Arabidopsis thaliana: one gene and its partner. The protein of the gene in region 2 interacts with the protein of the main gene of each other region in a pairwise test. Each region holds a gene or a part of one and is shown on either strand. Other genes may lie near its edges.

Region 1 (3,875 bases), on a different chromosome or scaffold from region 2:
TACGAATAGCTGATATCCTGTGCAATGTACCTTCTATTCCAGCTCTATTATCAGCTCCAAACTCACCTACAAGCTCTTGAGCATCCTCTAACTCTTCCATAGATACCTAAGCTAGTGTTTTCATGGATACAAGAATCCATATTTAAACACACAAACACACAACAGAGTAAAGACACAAACGTAATAATTGGTTTTACCTCGTTGTTCCTAAGATATTGACCTCCAGGTTCTCCGAGATAACGTGCTTCAGGTGGTCTTCCTAAATCCATTATGACCTAATCAAGGTTTCAAAATTCATCACCATTAAACTTTCTCATTTCAATTTTTAGCCTTTGAAATTGTTTTCACAAGAGTAACAATAACCTCTACGAGCTGGTTTCTTCTTGAATCGTTCAAGAGACGGTGACGAAGATCTTTTGGAAGAATCTATAAAGACGAAAGTGTGAGAAGAGAACAAAGACGAATAGAGAGGTGATTAAAAGTAAATTAGACCTCGAGAAATGCGCCGAGATTGTCGTCGACGATCATAGAGGAGGAGTCTGGAAGAGCAAGAGAAGCGACGGAGGAGGAAACCGGAAAACGCCGGCGAATTGGGGAAATAAGACGACAAGCTCCGCCGCCCCATGGGACGCAAACTCCGGCCATAGTTTCACAGCCCCCACCGAGCGGATAAGGAAGGCTCCCCAAAACCACCACCGTGTTATTAAAACTTTATGGGCCTTTGGGCCTATGGGCTTTTAAGCCTACATTAAATATCTTAACCTATCATTTATTTCGATACCTTGAAGAGGAAGGGAGACGAATGGATCAAAGAAATTCTTATTAACTTATCAGTGAAGCAATTCGCTTCCAATTACAGAATGAAATAAATGGATACATGTAATCAAAGAACTTACATACGAAGAGATCCATACATATAACATTATCAGCATCTGTTTAAAACAACCCAAGAAATCCATTTTCACCGCGCAATGAAAGCAGATTAGAAGGTGGCTGGACCGTGGAAGAAGTGTTGTTACCGTCATCTTCAAACCTCATCGCTCTAGACGAGTCCTCATGACTCACCATGTTACAATTCACTATTCCCCATTCACTTACTGCCTTGCACGTGCCAACCTCAACCCCTGATGGCTGACACGCTTGTTGGTACTCGCTTTCTCTTGGTAGAAGAGCCAATGAATAGTCATAGCCTATTGAAAGAGGCTTGTGATGAGGTTGAAACATTGGTGGTTGAGGATATTGATGAACACTAATCTCTTCAGGCTTGTTAAGCTCAAACATTGAGATTCCTTGGTAAGGGCTTTCTCTTCGGATGAAACTACGAGCTTCAAGCCTATTATTGCTGATGTTTGAGCCAACATCATTCCCTACTTTGAACAGATTTTTCTTCTTGAACACTCTACAAACAACCCATCCATCTTCCTGCATTATGTATAGATTGGTTTATTCAATTAAAAATCGACCGACTTTCACAAATTTTCTAATGAATAAGAGATATATATCCATACACAAGGGTCATCTTCAGTGTCTTCGATACGGTACTCGTGCATGATCCAATCTGTCTTTTGGCCATGAGGAGCTCTTCCTTTGTAGAATACAAGAGTCTTCCTCATGCCGATCTTCTTGTAAGAATTTCTTATGCATTTGTCACGTCCTGTCGCCTTCCAAAAACCGGAGTGGGTTGCACGGTTTGTCCTTGACCCTGTCGGATATTTCCTATCCTTGTGGCTGAAGAAATACCACTCATTTTGTGGCGTTGATCCTATTTTGCATCTATCTACAAAAACAAAAAAAAAATGCTTTTGTATAGTATCTAATATAACTAGAGGATTGGATCGTATATGTATTATTAATAAAAGAACGTACCTTGTAAATCCCACGGCTCAATCTTGTTCAAATCAACCTCTTTGATGACTTCCATCTCAAACTTTTCATAAGAAATCTTCTTCTTCAAGTAGTAATGAAGAAGTTCTTCGTCCGTTGGATGAAACCGAAAACCAGGCGGTACACCTCCGTTAGACGAACTCATTGTTCGGTTAATAAATGATCAATGTTTGTTTGAGTACAAAGCTAGATAGAATTACAATGATCTGCCTTTTGTTTCAAGCACTCTTCGTGTTCTAGGTTTATATAGACCTAGAGAAAATCCTAAGAGGGATTACACACACGTAATCGTCAACTCTATTATCACAAATTAAATAATCAAATCTTAATAGTATATGATGATGAAGAAGTTGACGGCCGGTGACAACGCCGCCGGAGAAGCTTAAAAAGCTATCGTGAAAGCTGAAATATCAAGACTCTTCCACAGCATTTAAGCCGTATTACACTTGCGTGAACGTTGACCCTAGCTAGTTTTTTATTCATCTATTAAACGAATGATCCCGGTGAATTTGGAAAACAAAATTATAATTATCGTTATGTCATGGTATTAATAACGAATCCGTGTTGATTTTAATTGCTCCGTAAGCAAAGGTTTTCGTCAATGAAAAAAAATACATATGGGGAACTCCAATTCTTATTATACGGTCCACATTTGTGTATATGTGTGAAGTTTGGTTAGCAATTAATATGAATCTAATTAAAATCGACTAGTTTTATTCGATAGTTAACTTTAAAAAAGGGCATGCAGTGGACAATGGGCCAATTGACCAATTGTGTTAGTGACATTTACGATATATATTTTCTGATTTTTTTTTTTGTTTGTCTAACTTTCAAGCATTCAATCTGTTTAATTCCTTGATTCATTGTTCATTGACTTAAGCAACCAATATATAAATGGATTTATGAACTCAATGAAAATGGGATTTGAATTTTGAGTTAGTTTAACAAGCGGACGAGTAAGTAGGTAAATCTCATGCATGCATCGCACATGGGGAGACTTGTGGACCTGTGGTGATGGTATTGGTATATGTACGTTGACATACGATTAATGTACTTCTAACCAATTATATTACGTTCGTGAGTAAGGTGAATTTTGATTATTTATTTTAAGGGTGTTAAACTTATAAGATACAACGGATGATGATGATCTACGTTGTGTGCAACAAAATTTCTGTATGTTTTCTACTTTTCCAATAATATCGCGAATTGTGTTGCATTCTTCCATTTATTTCAGTGCATTTTGGTAATTTCCAATAAATTAAGTTATATTTAGGATGAAAGTTTGGTTATCTCGATAGGATCGGATCAGATCGGATCGATTTAATGGAAATCTTAGATTAAAGTTTGGTTATATTGATAAAATCACCGGACCGGTTTAATAGAAATTTTAGGTTTAGGTTTGGTTATCTTGATAAGATCATCGGGCCGGTTTAATAGAAATCTTAGATTTTGATTTAAGAACTAATGGTAAGAAGATTTTTTTTTCATTAATAGTATATTAAAACTCTAGATTTAAGCTGGCGGAAATCAAATTGTCTTGTCGAAAATGGTAACTCCAGTAAAAGATGTGGTGTGATTTAGAGAATGTAATACCTAATATCAATGATGCGCCTTTTATCAAGTCATTCCTCGCTAGTGAAGTAGAGTTAGCATATTTCATTCTAGGTAATAAGATAACCGCAATTGGAGCATTCGAGTCATGTCGTCTAAATTAGACTCAGAAGATAAAGACTTTGGAATCGATTTATTTGATGAAAATCTAAGTAACACAAGTAAGTTTTCGATTGTACTTCAATTTACTTAGTATTTCATTCTTGATAATTTTTCAACAATATTTTTTTTTTATGAATGTTTGCAATCAGCAGATCTGGAGATCCTTGGTCGAATGGATGTTTTTTGTTCAGGATCCTCAAAATGATGGCAGTACCGTCTTGTTGCTTGGAGATGATATTGGTTACAAACCTATTTTGACTAAATGCACGGCTAATAAT
Region 2 (4,418 bases):
CCGCTAATGTTGGTCTATAATTCAATTTTCCTAGGCTTTAACTAAGGGTAGTTTATATGGCGTAAATGTGGGAACGTGTGAAGAGTCAATGTGAAAACGGCATGGTGTTCTTTTTGGTTTTAAGTAACGAATTCTAGAGGGAGAACGCACGGACGAGAGACTGTGATGAAGTAAGCATATATATACATAAAACTGTGTTAAACAATAAATCTGCATGCATAGGTAAAAAACTATATCTTCGACCAACATTGGTCTTACTATAAGATACGTAAATGTGAACTACGCAACAAACTTTGATTTTCGAACTTATAGTATATCCTCATCGATAAAAAGAACCTATAAGTTTCAACTTATATATACAACTCATGAATTGTGTCTGAAATACTTAAAACAAACATTTTTGAGTTTTAATTTAGTATTACATGAAAATAGAGTTTTATAACCTCAACTCGTGTGGTGACGCAAACACATAATAAACCTATAGGCAACATATATGTTTTTTTTTTCAAACAACATATATGTTATTATCGTACTTTAGTATGTAAACTGTCCGGAATATGTTTAATAGCTTATAAAGTTTAGTGTATTTTTGTTTTCAAGGATATGAAGTTTAACGTTAGCACTTAGCTAGCCTGTATTGTTTACATTAAATAAACTTCTTGAAGAAATTAAACTTAGAAACATATCTAGTACCATAATTTAAGATTGTGAACATGCTTATTAGTTATCTGTATTTGACAAAAGCTTACCACGAGTCTTATTTAACGATAGTGATGATTCATTTATTCGCAATAGATATATCCATATATATAAATAGAGGTTTGTGTACTCAGTTACACTCACAATTTATGGTTTTATAATAATCACACAAATCACCACAAAACAACTTAGTACACATATATGCCAACCTTCTAGATCGCATCTGTGACCCCTTCTTGAAGCATGGTAGATATAGAAGACATCAAGATTCGATCAACTATATATCTTCCTGTATCTAGTCATGTCCTAAGCTAGAAGACGACGCTCCAACAATCCCATCCTTACAATCATCCATCTGCAAAGGTTGAGATATTGGGATAATATTACCAAAAGGATCACCAACATCGTTGATGAGCGAATTAAGAAACGATGAGAACTTGTCGTCGTAGCAGAAACCAAAGTCTTCGTAGCCGTGTTCACCACCAAAGACATTGATACTGTTCTTGCTATCTCCATCCCCGCCATTAACAGTGGTATCATCAGTATGAGAACTAGAAATAGGCTCTAGAGGGTACTTTTGTCCACCGGAAACTTCTTCTTCTGGTTTATGGATGTTGTTTGCATCAAGAGGCTTGTGGGTTTGAGGATCAATTCCTTGCCTTAAAAGTTTCTTACGAAGATGAGTGTTCCAATAGTTCTTAATTTCATTATCAGTCCTTCCCGGTATCCTTCCCGCGATCAATGACCACCTGCATCACACATTAGAATTTCCATGAAGAACAAGAGCGGTTAATTACTAATATGGTTACAAAACAAGCTTGCATTTTTATCCTAGTAATCATAAACAATTTGAAAAAAGAATGAATGATCTCTAGAACTATTAATTTGCTCTAGAACCAGAATCAACTTAATTAAAATTATACTCTAAAGAAACTAGAGAAGGGATTAACCTTTTGTTCTATATAAATATCGAATCAAGAATCAAAGTATAATTGTTTTATATAGCTATAAGAAAAAATGGGATCAAGCTAAAATCAGAACCTTCATGTTTATGTGGAAGAAATAAAACCCTAGCTAGCTTAAACAAAAAAATAACTCTAGTGTATGGGTAGAGAGAGACACACACATACGTATGCATATAAACTAAACGATCTTGTATAGTTGAATACTTGACGAGATTTTTTTTTAATATCTATATATATACCTGTTGCCGAGGAGGCGGTGAAGACGGAGGATGAGATCTTCCTCGTCCGACGTAATTCCTCCACGTTTAACCGAGGGTCGGAGATAGTTCATCCACCGTAGACGACAGCTCTTTCCACATCTGAGTAAACCAGCTCTCTTAGGAAGCGATCGCCACCGTCCTTCACCTTCTTTCTTAATGAAGCTCACAAGAATCTCGTCTTCCTCCACCGTCCATGGTCCTCTCTTCATCCCCATCTTCGTGCAACACGGCGTTGTTTTCTTAGACACTGGCTTCTTCCCACCACATGACATCATCTCCGCCGTCTTCAACAAAGCTTTCTCTCTTTCCACTAGGGTTTCGTGATCTCTATGAGTTCTTCGATTGGTTGTTTTTTTCTTTTCTCAAAGTTTCTCTCTCTCCATTAGTCTGCTGATGTTACCAATGAACCTACCGACCTTTTCTCTCACGCGCTAGCTTCGGCGTTTGGTAATAATCTTCATTTGGTTTTTATTTCACCTGCGTGGTTTTTTTTTCCTTTCATTTTAAAGATTTTGCAGTAACAATCATATTGAAATCCAAATGGCTAATGTTATTACAATGCATAGGTTAGTTGCTTCTAGTTATTTATATTAAAGATTTGATACTACTATGAATTATAATTTGATTGGCTATAAACATCCGATTATACCAGCTCCTACAATTGAGAAAGTTATAACAAAATGGTTGATAATACATTAATGAATACTAACCACCTTAATTAAAATTGACACCAGTGAAAAAGCATTAAATATTTGGACCACCTTTTAAATAGATGATTAATCAGTAATTGGACAAAATGCTAGTATTTTTACAAATCGGGAAATAAAGGGGTGAAATCGTAAATAAATAAAAAGTATGGGCCACATAATAAAGAAGAATACAGGCGCATGAGAAATTAACATAATTACCTCTCCTTTATTACAGTTAGTCAATTTCTAACCCAAAACTTTTGTTTTGTTCTTTCCTTTTTCTTAATTTTGATTTTATTAAAATTTGGTCATGTATTTTCACTACTGTAATAGAGCTGGCATCTCTGATCTTTCAACTCCACCAATCTCGAAATCTTTTCTTTCAATTTTCTCAAAAAATTAAAACCCTAATTCTTATTGGATTCTGTTTCCTTGAGGAGCAATTGTGTTCTGTTCGCTGCATTTTTTTTGTTCTGCTGACGGAGGAAGAAGAAACGAGAAGAGATGGCGCGGCAAATGACGTCATCTCAGTTTCACAAATCAAAGACTCTCGACAACAAATATGTGAGCTTTCTTCTTCTCCGTAATTTCTGGGATTTGGGTTTTCTAATGGGTCTCCTTAAGATTTTAGCTTTAGTAATTTTATTGATTTTAAGCTTAAGTCTGGTGCTTTTTGCTGTTTTCTCTTCAATTTTGATTAATTTCAATGGTTGATCCTTGATATGTTGAGGGTAGATGCTGGGAGATGAAATTGGTAAAGGAGCTTATGGTCGAGTTTATAAAGGATTAGACTTGGAGAATGGTGACTTTGTGGCCATTAAACAAGTCTCTTTGGAAAATATTGTTCAAGAGGATCTTAACACCATTATGGTTTGTTATTTTCCTTATATCTATCTTCCTTATTTGTTCCTTACCACTGCTATGCTGACTAATCCTGGTTTTTACATGTGGATGATTCTTGTGCTGTTGGGATGAATTTCTCCAGCAAGAAATTGATCTTTTGAAGGTAGTTTTCTGAATTTTGTACTGTTTACAGAGTTGGGATCCTGATACTAAGTTTATGTCAAATCAATCACCTTCTGAATTTTGGCTTCTTCTCATGAATGGTTATGATGCTGGTTAAGATGCAGTTCTTCTCTATGTATTCTGAGATAATATTTCATTGCAGAACTTGAACCATAAAAACATTGTGAAGTATCTTGGGTCGTCGAAGACAAAGACTCACCTTCACATTATTTTGGAGTAAGTAGCTTTTTTTGTTTATTTTGGTCCACTCTGGACTATGGACGGGAAACTCAAGTTCAATTATGTGTTTGCAGGTACGTTGAGAATGGCTCTCTTGCAAACATTATTAAACCAAATAAATTTGGACCTTTCCCAGAATCTTTGGTGGCTGTTTACATTGCTCAGGTCTGTATACATCTTTCAAGTTGAGTTAAGTTTCGTTATGCATTGTGTACTAACTAGTGAATACAGGTCTTGGAAGGTTTGGTATATCTGCATGAGCAGGGTGTTATACACCGTGATATTAAGGGTGCAAATATTTTGACGACAAAGGAGGTGTGTTTTCTATATTATCTATTCTCAGACATGTCTTCAGTGTGTTTTTGTTTTGAGATCTGCTGGATAAGATTCTTCTAGGCTTTTTCCTTAGAAAGATACTTGACTACATCACACTTCAGGGTCTTGTGAAGCTTGCTGACTTTGGAGTTGCCACTAAACTTAACGAGGCTGATGTTAATACTCACTCGGTGGTTGGAACTCCTTACTGGATGGCTCCTGAGGTACACCTTTGATTATATATT

Evidence for each region.
Region 1: the proteins of MYB5 (region 2) and NAC015 interact in a two-hybrid assay, tested with the Arabidopsis thaliana proteins (one large-scale study listed by BioGRID).

What each region holds. Positions count from the first base shown.
Region 1 is NC_003070.9:12,070,895-12,074,769, reverse strand, and holds NAC015 (NAC domain containing protein 15), read right to left. Parts: upstream 2,160-3,875; 5' UTR 2,030-2,159; coding exon 1,867-2,029; intron 1,778-1,866; coding exon 1,509-1,777; intron 1,423-1,508; coding exon 937-1,422; 3' UTR 805-936; downstream 1-804. Other genes in the region: AT1G33290 (P-loop containing nucleoside triphosphate hydrolases superfamily protein), read right to left, coding at 1-106, 198-275, 364-426, 493-645.
Region 2 is NC_003074.8:4,418,020-4,422,437, reverse strand, and holds MYB5 (myb domain protein 5), read right to left. Parts: upstream 2,479-4,418; 5' UTR 2,200-2,478; coding exon 1,904-2,199; exon of another isoform or gene 1,449-1,903; coding exon 995-1,448; 3' UTR 687-994; downstream 1-686. Other genes in the region: MAPKKK7 (mitogen-activated protein kinase kinase kinase 7), read left to right, coding at 3,118-3,177, 3,349-3,483, 3,599-3,619, 3,782-3,855, 3,933-4,023, 4,090-4,173, 4,296-4,397. UniProt on the Arabidopsis thaliana protein: Transcription activator, when associated with BHLH002/EGL3/MYC146, BHLH012/MYC1 or BHLH042/TT8.